Tribolium castaneum: one gene and its partner. The protein of the gene in region 1 interacts with the protein of each later gene in a pairwise test. Links are inferred from orthologs where the notes say so. Each region holds a gene or a part of one and is shown on either strand. Other genes may lie near its edges.

Evidence for each region.
Region 2: the proteins of tim (region 1) and per interact in a two-hybrid assay, tested with the Drosophila melanogaster proteins (5 studies listed by BioGRID). The link is inferred for Tribolium castaneum from reciprocal best matches to the Drosophila melanogaster genes tim and per.

What each region holds. Positions count from the first base shown.
Region 1 is NC_087398.1:11,639,568-11,643,917, forward strand, and holds the start of tim (timeless), read right to left. Parts: upstream 2,838-4,350; 5' UTR 2,555-2,837; intron 140-2,554; 5' UTR 113-139; coding exon 34-112; intron 1-33. UniProt on the Drosophila melanogaster protein: Required for the production of circadian rhythms. The biological cycle depends on the rhythmic formation and nuclear localization of the TIM-PER complex. Light induces the degradation of TIM, which promotes elimination of PER.
Region 2 is NC_087398.1:316,265-320,560, reverse strand, and holds the start of per (period), read right to left. Parts: upstream 2,873-4,296; 5' UTR 2,668-2,872; intron 1-2,667. Other genes in the region: zinc finger protein 569, read right to left, coding at 3,467-3,867, 3,916-4,131, 4,208-4,296. UniProt on the Drosophila melanogaster protein: Essential for biological clock functions. Determines the period length of circadian and ultradian rhythms; an increase in PER dosage leads to shortened circadian rhythms and a decrease leads to lengthened circadian rhythms.

The DNA of each region.
Region 1 (4,350 bases):
AATATCGCGACTTATTTTTTTGGAAAAAATTACCGTAGCAGTCGTCGTTTATTATAAGTGTGTCCCCATTTCGGACACAGATTGAAGCAAACATGTTGTGAATATGGGCCATTTGTGGGATTCACACCGAACATCAACACTGGAAAAAATGAGCGACTTGTAGCTATACATCAACGAACTGAAAACGTTCACTTTCTATAAAACGTGACAGTATCGTACACGTTTCTGTGCATTTTCTGCATGTGGTACTGCATCATGGTATTTGGCCTTGGTACTTTCTTATTGCATGAGAACCGTTAGTTTGTGATAACATGTACAGTTAGATATAACGGTGTTGCACCACACCTTTGTTATGAATGGGGTCTTGGTCAAGGGGGTTCGGCTCGAGTACCCTTGATCCAGATGGAAAGTTTTACAGACAAAGCTTTCGTAATTCGGAAATCGAGACCAAAAGAACCACAGTTCATTCATTCATTATTTGAAGCCTCAGCGTAATTACTTTATAAAAATGTGATTGTTTTGTAAGAATTTTTTTGTCCACTTTTCACCACGATTTTTTTTATTTTATCGTGAACGGTAAAATGGCATTTTATCCACTAATTATTTTATCGTAAAACGAAATTTTATGGTCTAGAGAAATATGGTCTACAAGCATGGTTGTTTTTTTGTTTTTGACATTTTTTATTGTTCTATTTTTTGATTTATGATTGTCAATTAAAATAGTAATTCGATCGAAATAATGGATTGTACTCGACGATAAAATTTACTATTATCTTCTCAAACACACTCACAGATAAAATAAAATTTTATCGTTTTGTATAATAAATAACTGCTATATATTAGCTGTTTCAAAACTATAAAAACGCTAACCTCGCCATTTTACTCAATTGTTTTCTTAAATAAGATTGATAAAATTACAAAAAAGCATAAAATTTTTGCTTTTTTCAATAATTGTTTCATTTGTAGGGTTTGTCTTGATTAGTGTTTTATATTTCGGTGATTTTTGTTGTGTATTTTTTTTTGGAATTTGAAGCCTTTTTGCATTATTTTGACGGATCTGTCACTTTGACAACATTCACAATTTAAATTAAGCGGCATATTACGTTCAAATTTCATAGGTGACTTGATGAGCAACCATTTTTGAACACATTGTATAAGTATATAAGAATAAATTATACAATGTGTTTTTTAATGATTCTCATCTAGTTAACTTTGAAATTTACGTGTAAAAAAAATTCTGCCACTCTAATCAATTGAATCCTCTGTCAATAAATGTCAAATTTGTCAATTGTGAAATTCAATTAATTTCTTTAAAAAATTTCGTTAAAATGCAACTAAATTGTTACACTGAGCAAGAAAACACTTCTATTATCGATTATCGAAGATTGTTTTCGATGGAGAACGGTAATATTCGATGTCTAAATGCTTATCATTAGTTCTATGAAGCGGAATTTTCTGATTTAACATGAGAAATTCATAGACGACTAGATTGTATTAGCTGTATTTTTTTGAAGTGCATGAATAATTTATAACAGCTAATTTTGAGAAAAATGCGATGTTGGCGTTTTTATAGTTGTGAAACAGCTAATAGTTTCTAAAAAAAATAATTAATTTTTTTCTTGTCACTGGGAAGAAAATTAATAAGCTTTTGTTTAAAATTAGTTCCTAAACACAATGTGTTGCACGTGTCGATTTTGTGAAACTTTAATTGAATATTATTATTGAAGTTGCGTATTTGGGGAGAAACAACGGTTTAAACAAATTAATTATTTCCTAATAAAGTGAATGCATGTTAACGTCAAATGTTATATTAGGGCACGTTTACAGTGAGTAGATTGTTTGTTAAAGAGTAACGTGCTTCGTAAATCGATTTTGTTTGTGGTGGTGCGATAATTATATCTTGAAATTAGTTTTATATTTTTTCTTTTACACCTTGTTTGGGAGATATTCTATTACAATGGTATTTTCCAGGTTTAGAAAAATGTCAAATGCAGATGATATCTGTCAACACCGTCGACGATATTATTTTCGGTGTGGTTAATGTCATTTTACTACGATTTAATTTTATCACAAATAATTGTCAACAAATGATTAAAATAAAAAAACACTGATTTTAATTTCATCAAATGCGAAACTTGTTTTGTAACAAAATTCAAACGGCAGATCAAAAAGAAATTGTTTCGTGATCTTGCTTTTCCAGATAATTGTTTGTGGTATTGAGAGTATCGTGTTTTATTAATCTCGTGGCAAAGCTCGTGACCGGAAGAAGCCGAAAAAGGAGATTGAAAATTTTCTTTGTCAAAATGCAGGACATTATTTCATAATGAGCATCTGGTTTTGTATGGCTTTTTCGACGTCATAAATGCAAATCCAATAATTTCAAGCGACACGTGCACATCGATATCCATTATGTTATGTCAGTAATAATAATTGAATTTAACAAAAAAGTATTTCTGATGTGATAATAATTAGTTACGCAACGCTACAAGGAGTGCATCTAACAGGCTATCGAATTTCCAATTTCTGCAAACTACATCAATAACATCAAACTTACCCAAAAATTCTAAAAAAAATCTAAGTAATTTTATTTGTGTTATTTATACAACTAGAGACGATGTGATACACCCAAAAAAACACAAATCAGGTAAATTAATTAAGTTAAAACCGACACAAAACGATGAGCGTATGAGATGATCCATGTTACAAGACTGATTAGAAAGAAGGGTCAACCGATCTTGCGGTTGACGAACATCTGGACGCACGTGAAACGACAACGTGTCTCGTTTACGTTAATAACGCAATGAATCGGAGACGTTTAAAGACGATTTGACGACTGGTAAACATGTGCGAGGTGGACTCATGTCGGGGGTGGCGCAAGCGCCACGAAAAACCGCCCCCAGCGCAATTTAAAGTGATTATTAGATATTTGAAAAATTTCTAGTTAAATACGATAAATAAAAATAAACATTCGCATGCCAAATTTCTTAAAAATTGGTTAAATATTTATCAAGATATAAAAATAAACGTATTCCTTGGGGGCTTTTTTTAAAGAGCAGTAGTAATAAATCGAAAACAATTTTTTTTAATAACAAATACGTAGGCATCTGTAGACACCCTGTATTTTTACTGTATCTTGAGCACAATCAAGAATTTTTTCAGGATTTTTTTTAATGTTCATTATAAATCTTATCTTATAATAAATGTTAATTAACTATTTAAATAATATTACATAAGCCGCGACAAAAAATTCTATTATTTGTTATGTTTTATGCTCGGTCTTATGTCATTCTAACACAAATGAATCAAATAATGTATATTTGTGCAAAAACTGACGTTAGTTTAAAAAATAGTTCATTAAAAAAAAACAAATATTCTAACAAACAATTTTGGGGCTAACAACATTTTTTACGGTTTTTTTGCATAAAACTCATTTATTATTTTTTTTTTTTTTGAAAGACGGGAGAAGTTAACTTCGATTAATCAATATTTTATCTGTGATTTTATTATATTTGTTCTTCGACAATGTCATAATTTACGGTTTTTCTCATGTGTAAGAAAAACTCTGGCATTTTTCAGTACGAAACATCAGATTATTTTTAACAGATTTAAAGATTTTATCCTTTACTGAGTCTAATTCGAGGAATAAAATTTTGTATTCAACACGCTTTTGTGTAAATCGGTTCATTTATTTCACCTTGTGCATGATGAATACAAATCCGCTTGTGAAATAAAGCGTTCAATTTATATTCAAGTCATTAAATAAATAAATATTAATTTTATTGTTTATACCAACTACTATTAATATTTTTATTTTTAAGTTGATAATTTTAATAATTGTGATTCCCGTAGCACTAAAGTCGCAAGATTTTAATATTTATTATTCGATAACTACAACAACCTCGAATTTTTTTGACAGACCTTGAACCAAAAATTTTCGCCCACCACTAACACTTTGAAACTTGCAACAATTTTTTTACATATTATTTGCACAAAACATTAAGCATCTTGGAAAAACAAGGACAAGAAATAATCAAAATTTTTTTGTGGGGTGCTATGTAATGTCAAATTAAATTTTGTATTAAAACATATTATAATATTAACCTACCATTTTAATATTTTTTTCAACATTAGCTATAGTTTTATTTTTTCTGTTATTTTTGATAGGAGGACTTTTCCATAACATAATTAGTTTTGTTGGCAATTGCCATTTGGAGTTATCGAAGTCTGACTGTATAAGAAATCGTAGAAAAATTCTGGAAACATTCACATGCATAGAAAAAACAAAGTATTTAATAGCAAACCCCGACTTTTGTGCAGTGATTAGTTTTTGAGATGCCGGAAAAAAGACGA
Region 2 (4,296 bases), about 11 Mb from region 1:
CGATGTTTTCAGTTATAAAGTTTACAGTTGCATTGTTCCAAAAATACATCGAAAAAGTTTGTTATTGGATGCATTATTGATTGCATGTGACAATTTCTAGATTTAATTTTATATATTACTCAACCTGACCTTGTCACAAGCAATCCGCAAACTTTTTTACCGTTCGTTCTAATTCCGAATTTGTTCATGTAATTCAGTGTCTTACATAATGGTTTAAGTTGCAGCGAGTGTTTTATATAACGCGGAAGACCAAGATTGCTAGTTCAAATTGACTATAGATTATGTAACAACTGTCCGGAGCTTATTAAACGACTATTTAAAGGGAATCTAATTTTCTACGAAAATAACTATTAGCTTTTAGTTCCAAGGAGAAGAACTACGAATGCGTAAATTGACACACTGAGATGAGTAAAAGTAATTGTCTGGAGCGCTCAACCTTTAAGGATTCATTTGAGTTACTGGGGCTTTGATTCTTGTTTCTCCTACAACTATCGATTCTGTTTGAAATGGGGTAAGGATTGGATATTGGATCCACAAAAAAATTTAATGATTCAATAGTAAAACAATAAATGAAAAAACAATTTGGTATATTAGCACAACTATTTTTCTTTCAAATTTTATAATTCACTCCTCTGCTGTATCTTAACATTTCATATAGTAATAAGAGTTTTGTAATACATACGACCTTTATTGAGTGTTTTGTGGTGCTTGTAAAATTATGCATTTCTTCTAATGACCGATACAGATTGTAACAGCATAACATATATTTCCCTTGATTAAGTTTAAAATTTGAAATGTCCTACGTCCTTCAGAATATTAATTTTCACTTTTCGTTGTGTTATGTAAATGCAAATCATAATCAGAGATAAGAGAACATCACGTCTGATTTCCTCGGGTTCGATTCAAATCCTTTCAAGATTTAAAATTTTATTCAAAACGTGTTTAATTAACAACATGGTTTTTGTAATTAACAACTCAATTTGGTTTAACCCCTGACACAAAATCGCTTTGCAATTAAATACTACTTCATGTCGTAACATAAAATCCCATGTACAACAACGTGCTGCTTCTCCTGTGCAGACCCCAACTACTGCCAATCGCAAAGTTGTTATGTGAACTTAATTCCGTCGTCTTTTCATGACATGTTTCAAAAGAAAGGCTCGGGTTCTTTCTAATAAAAGAATCACTTATTTATAGAACTGTCCTCTACCAAGCAATTACCTTTCTCTCATAATCTTTGGTATTAGAGGATCACCTTAACACACTTACTATTTTTTTGAAAGCTAGGTATTGCGTTTTCGCTCAATGAAGATTTTTCGCGCAACAGGTGACTTTATTTTATTCCAGATCTGGGGAATGTATTCTCTAAAAAAGGTTTTGCTCGTATTTTTCTGCTCCAGATTTATTTGCAACGTGTGATACAGTAACCAATAAAACACACTGTAAAAATAAAATTGGCAAATTTAGTCGCTCACTGTTACGGATTCACGTTGTTCTGAACGTGTACACTGCAAAGGAGTATCGGAAAAAGTAAACATTATTTATGTAACGGCTGATTAGGTATTTACTTAACTATACGAATTAATACAATGAGTAACGACTTTTCCTTCAATTAGGTTATTTTTAGGATTGGAAGCCAAGAAATACAAGCTTTATTAACTAATTTAAAACATTGTGGGAGGGAATTTATTTTTGCAAAAGTCGCGTTTTACCATTTGTGTTCTCTTCTTCACCCAACGAACAATTATGCTTTGAGCCCAACAAGTAAAATTTAATTAATAAGCTTTCGAAATTGTCAAAAAAGATAAACTTTTCGGTTCGCATCTTTTCAGCAATTAGTTACTTAAATCTTTTTTTTTTTGTTGATGAAGGTTTCAAAAGATGCATTTTGTTCGCAAATTACTCAGAAATATCTAATCGAAAAAAATATCACATTGAATTTCGATTACTCAAGTTTTTTATTCTTCCATTACATTTTGGTGTCACTTTTCAGATAGTAATAAATAAATATTCAGCCTTGATGATGAATTGAATTCGTTTTGTAACATTAGTTATTTTGGCGAGTTTCCAAACCAGTTTTCATACTGAGTGAAAATGGGAATAAAAACATTTTTTTTCTTCCCTTTGAATATATCTATACTTAAAATCTGTTTTAAAATGGACATACAACATTCACAGCATTTTGAAACAGTATATAGCGATCGCAAAAGAATTAAAACAATTCGTGCACAAAGTCCCTTAGGAGCTTAAGCCTCGAATCAGTTAATTTGACCTTTTACAGTGCTTTAGATTTGTTCTTTTTTTTAATTATGTTTATTGCTTAGTTTAGCCTGTTAATATTTACTATTTATCGCACCATAGATCCACATGAAAGCCTATTAAGGTAAGTCACAGAATTGTTGTATTATTCATAATTCACGTGGCATTGATTAATTCGATATTTATTTACATGTAAAAGATATTAATTATTGAAATAAAGCACTTAGTTAGCTAATTTTCGCAACATTGGTTGCCAGTGTTGGCACTTCTTCAAGGTAGGTCCAAATAGCTTTAGGCTGAAGTTTAAATAAAATAAAAAAATATTTGTTGAGTACTACTACCCTTCAAAAAATGCACTTCTGGAAACAGCCAAATGCTGGAATTCGGTTAAAATAAAAATGTACTTACAAAACGTTGTTACATTTTCAGTAAATATTTTTCAAAAGATCGAAGCACTGGTAGCAATCACGAAAAAACGCAATAATTAAGCGCAACAAAATAATTTCATATTACTGCAAGCCTGGTTGAAACTTTACTGGCGCAACATTTTCCTTTGGTGAGATTGCAGAATGAGACAGGGACGGATGGAAAGAGTAGGCAGGAAAAGGAAAGAATATAATATAGCAAGAGGGCACGCAACCGACGACTACTCACGCTTTCAACAACGTGAGCTGTCTTTCCCTAGAGTATTATCGTCCTTTGTCCACACCTCGACGCCGATTTTCGCGCTAAATTTACGCTTTAATGCCTTGAATTACGCGGCTACAACCTAACGTAACTTTGAGAATTTTAGGAGATTTTTTTTGGGTCATCTAAACCAAAGGTGTTACGTGTTTCTTTAATTTTAATCGTCAAATTTTGTTACACGTGATTTAAATTCGAAATGTCACCATAACACGTAGTTATCTTTTGTACCACCTCCAAGATTTTGGTTTTCAATTTGAATCAAATGGGTTAATTATTTTTTCAATACGTTTACCAAGTTTTTGCTGCACGTCATACCAGAGTTGGACCAAGTCTTTTAGGGCAATAATAATAAAACACCAAATAACTAATCTGGATTTTATTTTGAGCAAAACGCTTTAAAATAAATAACAGTTGATAAAATGTTGGCAAAATTAATTAATTAATTAATTACAAGGTGGTAGATATATTAAAAAAATAAATAAAAAACTAATTGGTAAACATAACTTTTCCCCTTACTTTATTACGTTAAAAAGGGGGTATGCATGACCCCCAAGACCCCAATTTTCGTGTCAATAACCTCTCGTCCAGGATGCGTTTTCTTATGAGTTTTAAGCGCAGAACTCTGCCTAAATGCCTGTCCACATACATCGCAAATGTACGGTTTTTCCCCCGTGTGAATCCGCAAATGTGACGTCAGATCATTCGACTGTGAAAATGCTTTTGTACAAAACTTGCAAACGTAAGGTTTCTCTCCCGTGTGCGTCCTTTTATGTCTGGCTAGAATCCCCGACCGCGAAAACTTCATTTTGCATACGTCACACTCGTACGGTTTTTCCCCGGAATGGATTCGTTTGTGTTTTGTTAACGAACTTGAAGTTGTAAAGCCGTGGTTACAGATTGGACACACGAAAGGGCGCGCACCTAAAATAATAAATAAGTACAAAATAATTGTTGAATTTGGAGATATACCGGTGTGTTTTCGGAGATGGGCTGAAAGTTCACCTTTGCTGGCGAAACCGTTACCACACGTACTGCAAAGGTGGGCTTTAATGCCGCTGTGGCGGATGGTGTGTTGACGAAGGTTTCCCAACTGGTTGAAGCCCTTGCCACAGGTGGAACAAAGAAAGGGCTTTTCACCGTTGTGGGTTCGCATGTGGTCTTTCAAATTTGATATTTGGTTAAAACCTGAAGTTCAGAAAATTACTTGTGTAAAAAAACGCTTTTTAAACTAAGTGTTTAGTTTGTTGAGATAAATGTTTACCTTTGAGACAAATCGCACAGACATGCGGTTTGATTCCAGAATGTATATTCATGTGGTTATTAAGCTGTTCCGCCCTCACAAATCCCTTA